2 linked regions of the Oryzias latipes genome follow. The protein of the gene in region 2 purifies or fractionates together with the protein of the main gene of each other region. This does not show direct contact. Links are inferred from orthologs where the notes say so. Each region holds a gene or a part of one and is shown on either strand. Other genes may lie near its edges.

What was found. The genes of interacting proteins can lie anywhere in the genome.
Region 1: the proteins of sirt1 (region 2) and kat5 purify together in Homo sapiens (affinity purification with western blotting; 3 studies listed by BioGRID). This does not show direct contact. The link is inferred for Oryzias latipes from reciprocal best matches to the Homo sapiens genes SIRT1 and KAT5.

Annotation. Positions count from the first base shown.
Region 1 is NC_019872.2:15,158,684-15,161,992, forward strand, and holds part of kat5 (histone acetyltransferase KAT5), read right to left. Parts: intron 2,438-3,309; coding exon 2,387-2,437; intron 2,097-2,386; coding exon 2,022-2,096; intron 1,953-2,021; coding exon 1,896-1,952; intron 1,553-1,895; coding exon 1,385-1,552; intron 1,289-1,384; coding exon 1,214-1,288; intron 1,112-1,213; coding exon 1,049-1,111; intron 806-1,048; coding exon 557-805; intron 1-556. UniProt on the Homo sapiens protein: Catalytic subunit of the NuA4 histone acetyltransferase complex, a multiprotein complex involved in transcriptional activation of select genes principally by acetylation of nucleosomal histones H2A and H4.
Region 2 is NC_019873.2:29,790,710-29,795,142, reverse strand, and holds the start of sirt1 (NAD-dependent protein deacetylase sirtuin-1), read right to left. Parts: upstream 2,952-4,433; 5' UTR 2,917-2,951; coding exon 2,583-2,916; intron 1,877-2,582; coding exon 1,754-1,876; intron 1,679-1,753; coding exon 1,443-1,678; intron 1,363-1,442; coding exon 1,210-1,362; intron 1-1,209. Other genes in the region: dnajc12 (dnaJ homolog subfamily C member 12), read left to right, coding at 3,758-4,045. UniProt on the Homo sapiens protein: NAD-dependent protein deacetylase that links transcriptional regulation directly to intracellular energetics and participates in the coordination of several separated cellular functions such as cell cycle, response to DNA damage, metabolism, apoptosis and autophagy.

The DNA.
Region 1 (3,309 bases), on a different chromosome or scaffold from region 2:
GTTACTTTCGAAAGTAACAGAACCATTTTTTGGGTTTTTATTTTAACTGAATTATGGAAAAAAAGATGCAATTTAAAAAAGAAAAAAAGGAGCATCACAGGTTCCTGCAGAGCCTGAATTTTTCTGAGCTGCTCATTTCTCTCAGTCAGTCTCCCTTATCCTCACCTGCACCATGTGGATGATAAATTATTATTGCAAAATTAATGCAACTGATGCTCACTGCATTGTTGAACGGGAAATGCTTTTCGTATTTTGTCAATATATAAGAACACACCTTAATAATATGTCACTGAGTCTTTAGACGGGTTCGCAGTGTAAAATCACGAGAATAGTAATTTGTTTTTTTCATTGCACAGCACTTCATTTTTGTCAGTTTAAGTTCACTGTGCCTCACAGAAGTGTTGATTTAATGACGTGAATGTTTTTTTCACAAATACTTGGTAGTAAGAAGAGGGCAGCACTTTTTATTCTTTTTAGGAACTGTTTGCTTTGTTAATGCAGTGAAACAGTAGAGGGCAGGAAAGGTGAGAAGCAAAAAAAGCCCCAAAAATCTCACCAGATGCCTCTGGAGACACTTGAGGCTTTTCAGGTACTTGAGGCAGAATTCACAGAGGTAGAGAATGGGCAGAGTGGTCAGCTCCTGTGGGTACGGCGAAAAGTACCACGGCTTGAGCCTGTGCCGGCCTAACTCGATGCACTCGATGTTTTTCATGCGGGTGATGATGTCATCGTGACTGCGATCTGACACCAGGCTGCCGGTCATGCGGGGTGCTGTCGGTATACCATCAGAACTGTCTTGGGAGTCCTAAACGAAGACAGTGGCCGTTAGTCCCAGCTGATCCTTAAAACCAAGTTACAAAACGGTTTCACAGGGTTATACTAAACAAGATTCTGTTTTGTAAAGATCAATCATAGATATTGATTTTACCAACCGAGAACAAAATTGGATCAACATTAACCAGAGTCAATCATTTATTCGAGCAATATAAACAGCTGATTTTGGACTTCAATACACAATAAATTAGCAATAACAGGTAAATGAACAGACCTCTGGTGGGGGTAGAAAGACGGCGGCACTTTGAGGCTTGTTATACTGCAACACCTTTATCATCTAGAGAACACATGGTGGCAGAATCTTAATGCAAGTAACAAAATGAAACCTTTGCACTTTGACGAGTTTTTAAAATCTTCTAAAAATCGAGCTGCTACATACCTCATCAGGACCCCCACAGTTAGCTTTCCTCTTTCTACCAGGCTGAGGGGGTATTAGACGCCGGGCGGTGCCGTTCTACAGCCAAAAGAAGACAAACAGCTGCTTATTCCTAAAACTGTAAAACCTAGAAGAGAAGTTCATGATGATTTAAGAAAAGAAGATTTGCTCCACCGTTGTGACTGTGGGAATCGGCTCAAGGTCTTCCCGCGCCTTGAAGGGGGGGGGCTCTCTTACGACAGGGAAAACAGCCGCCTGGGAGGTTTCAGTTGAGCTCGGCAGGGCGGGCACAGGGGTGGCGGGTGGTACCGGAGTCACCAGGGGAACCACCTCTTTCCTCTTCTGCAGCAAATATACATCATTACAAATCCTTTTAAAATGGGGGAAAAATAGATAAACATTTGACCAGGACATTTTTTTTTTTACTTTAACCCCTGAAAATCCTGCACAAGCAAAGGAAAATTATCCAAATGTTTTATTCACTCCTTATGACTTTACTACCGACAGAATTGTGCTCTTATCCTCTATGCAGTTAGAAGGATTCTATATATTGCATTCAATATCTAAAATTATTGAAACTTGAACAGACTACATACTTCTTTGACAGATTATAAGCTGTGTTGATAAGCAAAACCCCCCCAAAAAATGTAACAACCAACTTGTTACTAAATCCCTGCATCTTGACCTTTTTCTGTAGCGCCACGACTTTCTTCTTCTGACTCAGCTGCACTTCTAACCTGAGCTAAAGAGCGATACAGTCAAGCTAGTATGATAACAGTTCTAATTAGGTCTCAGAATGGGTAAATTCTACTTGTACCGGCGTGGGGAGGGTTTTGCCTCTGGAAGGAGCTGTGGCAGATTGGAGGTTGAGATCTAGAGTCTTCCTCTGAATTGAACACAAAGGAAGATAAGGGCATTAACTGACACGGGGTTAATGACATGCAGGATTCAGCCGCAGGTTGATATTTCGGCTCACGAACAGACTTCGACTTCATGATTGGAACAGAATTAATAGCAAATTAATAAGTCTCTTGATTGGTTTATAAATGCCGCTTGTGTTTCAGAGTTTCATTAAATCAACCGGGCTAAGCAACATATAACAAGCTTCTTTAAAACAATTTGAAAAAATTAGACATTGTTTCTTTTTAAAAACAATTATGTCTGGTGTTATATTACCTGTTTCTTCTGCAAAGCTGTGTCATTGTTTGTATCTTTCTTCTCACTCACCTCACAGGAGAAAAGCAGACATGTGTTAAGGGCTGACAGCGGGGTGTCATTACATGATACAAAAGATCCACATTTGACATATAAACAGAAAAATACTGAGACTTTGGGTTCAAGGACCAATAATATGGGATTTTTGTCTCAGTAGTGAAAAAGAAAGTAGTCCCAGTCAGCTTTAAGGGCTTAGTTAATTACACATTTAAGGAGCAAGAAAGACTGAAGAATAGAGATTTTATAGTTAATACAATTTTACATAAAGTAAACCAGGAGATCATCATTCATTTCAATGAAACAAAAACACAAAAGGCAGTGTGTGGAAAAATTGAAAACTTTGATTTACTTTTTCTTTTCCACAGATTAACAGCATTTCTTGGATCACTAGTTTGCTACCTAATCCAGTTTTTTTTAAAAAAGGTTAAGAGCAGCGTGTGTAAAAAATAAAGCAAATTTCCCAATTACTTTGTTTCAGACGCCATAATTATTGGACAAACTTTTTCATGGCCAAGAAAAATAAAGAGGTCAGCTGCAAATCTCAAAGATGAAACATTGCTAAACCAAATCATAGATGGATTCTAATCGTGGTCTTATTAATTCAAGTTTAAAAGGATAAATCAGAAATTCTCAGCCTGACTGATATAAATGCCAAAAACCTGAATGCTCAATTCTTCGCAGCCGTCTAGCAGGAATTTGGGGTTTGATTTACTCTTTATAGTGTTTTTGTGAACAATGGAATAGTGCATTTAAACAATAATACACTGCAGTGTTCCTTATTAAAAAGATTGCTTTGTAACAAACATTTTTTGGGATGAAAAATCCTAAATGAGGTCCTTAAACTCTGAGATAAGGGTTAAGCTTCCTGATGTTTTCTAACAAAA
Region 2 (4,433 bases):
TTGACGCGGTGCGTCAAACCAAAAAAACGAACCCGAGGCGTTTTTTAAAAAATGACGCTTTTACTCGTGGCGTTTTTCGCGTCGGTGTGCACACTCACATTGGTGCCCTTTATTTAGTCACAAGGCGTTAAACGCCGGCAAATATCGCGCACGAAATTCGTCCCGGTGTGTACGGGCCTAAAAGGCTACGTTCACCCTGCAGGCTGAAACGACCCAATTCCAATTTTTTGCCCCTATGCGACCTGTATCTGATCTTTTCATGACAGTCTGAACGACACAGATCCGATTTTTTCGAATGCGACCCAAGCCAGTTTGGTATGTGGTCCTGAATCGAATACGTATCCGATCTCTTCGACCTCTGTCTGAGCGGCCAGGCCACATGAATCCGACCCGTACGTCATCGATACGCTACAAACGTCATCATTCTGCATTGAAGTAGGCAGGAACTAGATCATAAACATCAACCATGGCGAAGATGCTGCTGAGACCAGTCAGTGTTAGGGAAGTGAGGTCACCGATTGGATTCATATTTCTCTATTCAGGCCAAACTCCAGGGCTCTTACCGTAACCGGGCAGTTTTTGAAAACATTTCCAGCTAAATGGCTGAGGGTACAGACGATCCTGGCTCCTCACATCAGTATCCCACCACTCCACACGTTTCTCTGTACAGACTTGGCTAACACTGCTTCAAAAAACGCCATGGCCACAAACTTTCCTCCTTTTTAAATTTCTTTTTAAAATGAGAAGATTGTAATTATTCTGGCTCCTTTGTGAAAATAAATGTAATAAAGCAAAAATAGCTCTGCTGTTGACAACACTGTTGTTGACATCCATTGCTAACGTTAGCTACTTCCATAAACAACAGTGACGTCGGTCACCGTTGAGGACTCTTCTGCGCATGCCGGTCACTTCTGGGTCATTTCAGGGTCAAACAGGAGATCACAAAAGATCATATTTAATTGGAAATGTGAAGGACCTTCACAACGAACCATCTCTTAAGTCCAGATGACGGCCCCTAAACCCACTACTATGATGGAATCTACCTGGATGAATGAGAGGCTTCATAGACACATAGTGAAATATGTTTTTCATCTGAATTTAGTCAGAAGTGTGAGTTAAATCATTTAAATGTCACAAACATTTTGGGGGCTTTAGTTTAGTAAACTTGGGCCGGACCAGAGAAGGAAGAGACAAAAAAAACCTTCCAACCTTAGCAAACTTGAAAAACGGTCTGGGGTCTCGTCGGAAGTATTCGATGTCGAACATCGACTGCGGATCGGGAAGGTCGGGAAAGTCGACAGCAAGCCGAGCGTAAATCCCATCTCTGGAGCGAAAGTCGGGAATTCCACAGGAAACTGAAACCTGCGAAGCAAACCGGTGTTTACCGTTTCTTTACCCAACATGAAGGCAGAAAAAGCCCTTCTGGGGACTGAAACACCTACACCTGCACCGGTCAGAACCATGATCCTCTTGCTCTCATGAAGCAGTCTGACCACGTCCTCCACAGTGTTCACGTCTTTTCTCTTCTTCCTTTTGGGAGGTTCTGAGATGTTGATGATGATCTGCCACAGGGTCATGTCGTCCAGATCGGGTGGGAGTATGGTCTCGGGCAGCAGGTCCCGCAGAATGGCCCTGGGGTCCGTCTCTCTGATGTGCTGATGGATCAGACTGTAGGAACCTGCACACGCACACACCTGAGCTCACAACGGCTTTGCAGGGAGACGCGGAAAATACATTCCTGCCTCATTCTGACCGATCTGGGGCTGCGGAGTCCAGTCGCTGGAACTAGCATGAGAGGATCCGTCATCGTCGTCGTTAAGGTGTTCTGGTGTGACGGCGAGACCGTTGGAGGGAAGATCGTCAGCCCCGAGGAAGCCTGAAGAGGGCAAAACCGGCAGGTCAAAGGCCGAACGCCGAGACCTCTGCCGCCACACGACGCGGACCGTATTCATGCTTCAGGAAAGGATGACTAAAATGCAGCTGAAGGAGCTGCTCTGATTGGAGCCACCTCAACTTAATAGAACTTCAATCATATAAAGGGAATTCATTGATTCCTGGTTAATTTCTTAATTTTAATATAAAGGAAAATTCCTGATTTCTGTTTTCTATTTCCATGTTATAAATAAACCAATAACTGATGGATCTTAAGATTCATTAATGACACCTAAATCTATTCTATTGAGATTAATAACTTTAATTAGAAATTCATCATTTCTAATGTTTGGATAAATGTGGAGCTTTTATTTCATAATTAATTATCTTTACATAAGAAAATCCGGGAAATTACCTTAAATTAAATCCCGGAGTTCAGTTTTTGACTGAACTCGATTGATGGATTTTTAAACCTCTATTTTCCAGTTGGGTTAAACGGTTTAGTTCCGCCAAAGTTTGGACTTTTAGGTCAACACGAGTCACGTGGTCAAAGTCGGCGAAGTTCTCGAACAGGAACGAGAACTTCGCCGAGCATCGGTTTGTTTCCTGCCGCTTCCGGTTCCTTTCATCTTCGGTACGTCGGGCTAACAACCAGCCGTTCCGAGCGATGAAAACACGGAGCCCTTCGTCAGGGAACCAGAAGTACTCACCCGTTCTCCCCTCAGCAGAACCAAAGCCGAAGCTCAGCCTCTCGGCTGGGTTCGGCGGCTCGCATCCCAGCAGTCCCAGCCCATTGTTGTCTCCGCCCGCTGCGGCCTGCTCCCCCGCCATCGCCGGCTTCGCCTCCCTCTCGGCCCGCTGCTCGCAATTCACCGCCGCCTCCCGGCTCTCCGTGGCCGGGGAGACGTAGGAAAACGGCTCCGCCTCGATGGATCTGAAGACGCGGTCGTCCGGTGGAGTGATTTTCGATCTCTTAGCGGCGGGTTCGTCCGCAACGCAGGCTCCAGAGAAGGCCGCTCGGTGGCTGCTCTCGTCGTCCGCCATCTTCAGCCCGCAGGAGCCGCCGAGCAGACAGCTGGCTCATTTGCATAACGCGCGTGATGACGTCTACCATAACAAATGACTGATGCCTTCATGAACGGTCGGACAAAAGAAAGACATTAAAACATATGCAAAAATAATAATAAGGAAAAAATAAATAACGAAGGTGAAAACACCTCATTTAAAGATTATCAGCAGCATTAACTATCGAAGTAAATATGTCTAATAAATAAGATTGAGTTCAGTATCAGACAAAGAATTTACAAGTGACCAGAAAGTTATCTGCTAGCAATGGTTATTTTTCAAAGCAGACGTCACACTAACTAATAATTAGTTATAAAAATAAAAGCCATCTTTAAAAAAAAGCTCTGATATAAAATTGCATGCATGAACATTATTATTACCATTATTGCATATTACGTTAAACGTATTAAAAGTAAACCGAGTGTTAAGGTTTTCTGCTTGTTAAAGGTTTTTATGCTTATTTAAAATTAGACTTTCACTATGAACTTGGTAAATCAAACACTAAATCACAACCACGAAAACAGTTGCACACTGAATTTTTAAGCAAACATTCTCAGTAAAGTTATTTTTTATTGCTGTAAAAAGTATTAGATTTTTTTAGTTTAAAGCGTTTTCTTCCTCTGTTGACGGATTTGGAGAATTCCAGCATAAAAAGGCAGAAACTGAATCAAATGTATTTAAATCAAGAACTTCTCTATCAGCATTCTGAAAACATATCAAAATATAAACGCTATAATTACAATATATACTTACACATTGAGTTTATTTTTTTGAGGTTTAGTATTAACTGGAATGACCCAAAACGGGAGTGTTTCCTCCCATGACAAAGGAGGGTCCTCGAACGCAACCCACGTCACATGTTGGTGAGAAAGTGAGAGCTTGTTCGGTTCTTTTAAACTCAGCTGATTTATCAGCAGAATCCCAGTCCAACCAGAACCAAGAACCTCAGCGGCATCCCAGGAAGAGGGAGTTGGTCCATCGACCTTCCTGGATCAGAACCGCAGAGATCCGGTCCGGTAAAAGAAGAGCCATGGATTCCCTTCTGCGCAGTAAACCGGAGGACCGGGAGGATTTTTACGGAGTGCTGGGGTGCGACGAGCTGTCGTCCGTAAGTTCTGATGACGTCATTCCTGCCCGAGCTGCAGGAAAAGGAAAACATGTTTGTCGACCATTAACAACCTGCAGGTTGATCATCGTGAGAAAAGAGACCACGTGACGCACGAAGAGATGCTGCACGCGCTCTGTGCTCTGTGGCGTCAGAACCGAATCCCGGACCACAGGTGGTTGAAGCCGATGACGTGACCACCGAAAATCTGATTATCATCCTCTGATTTATTCAGTCAGACTATTGAAGTGATCATGTTAACAGGATAATCCGATTGCCAAACTGGTTTACATGCCCTCAAAACCCAGAGAAATGGGAGTAATCAGATCCTCGAAAGTAATCAGATTACAGTTGCAAAAATGAAAACCACATTTTTAATTTTATTCTGAAA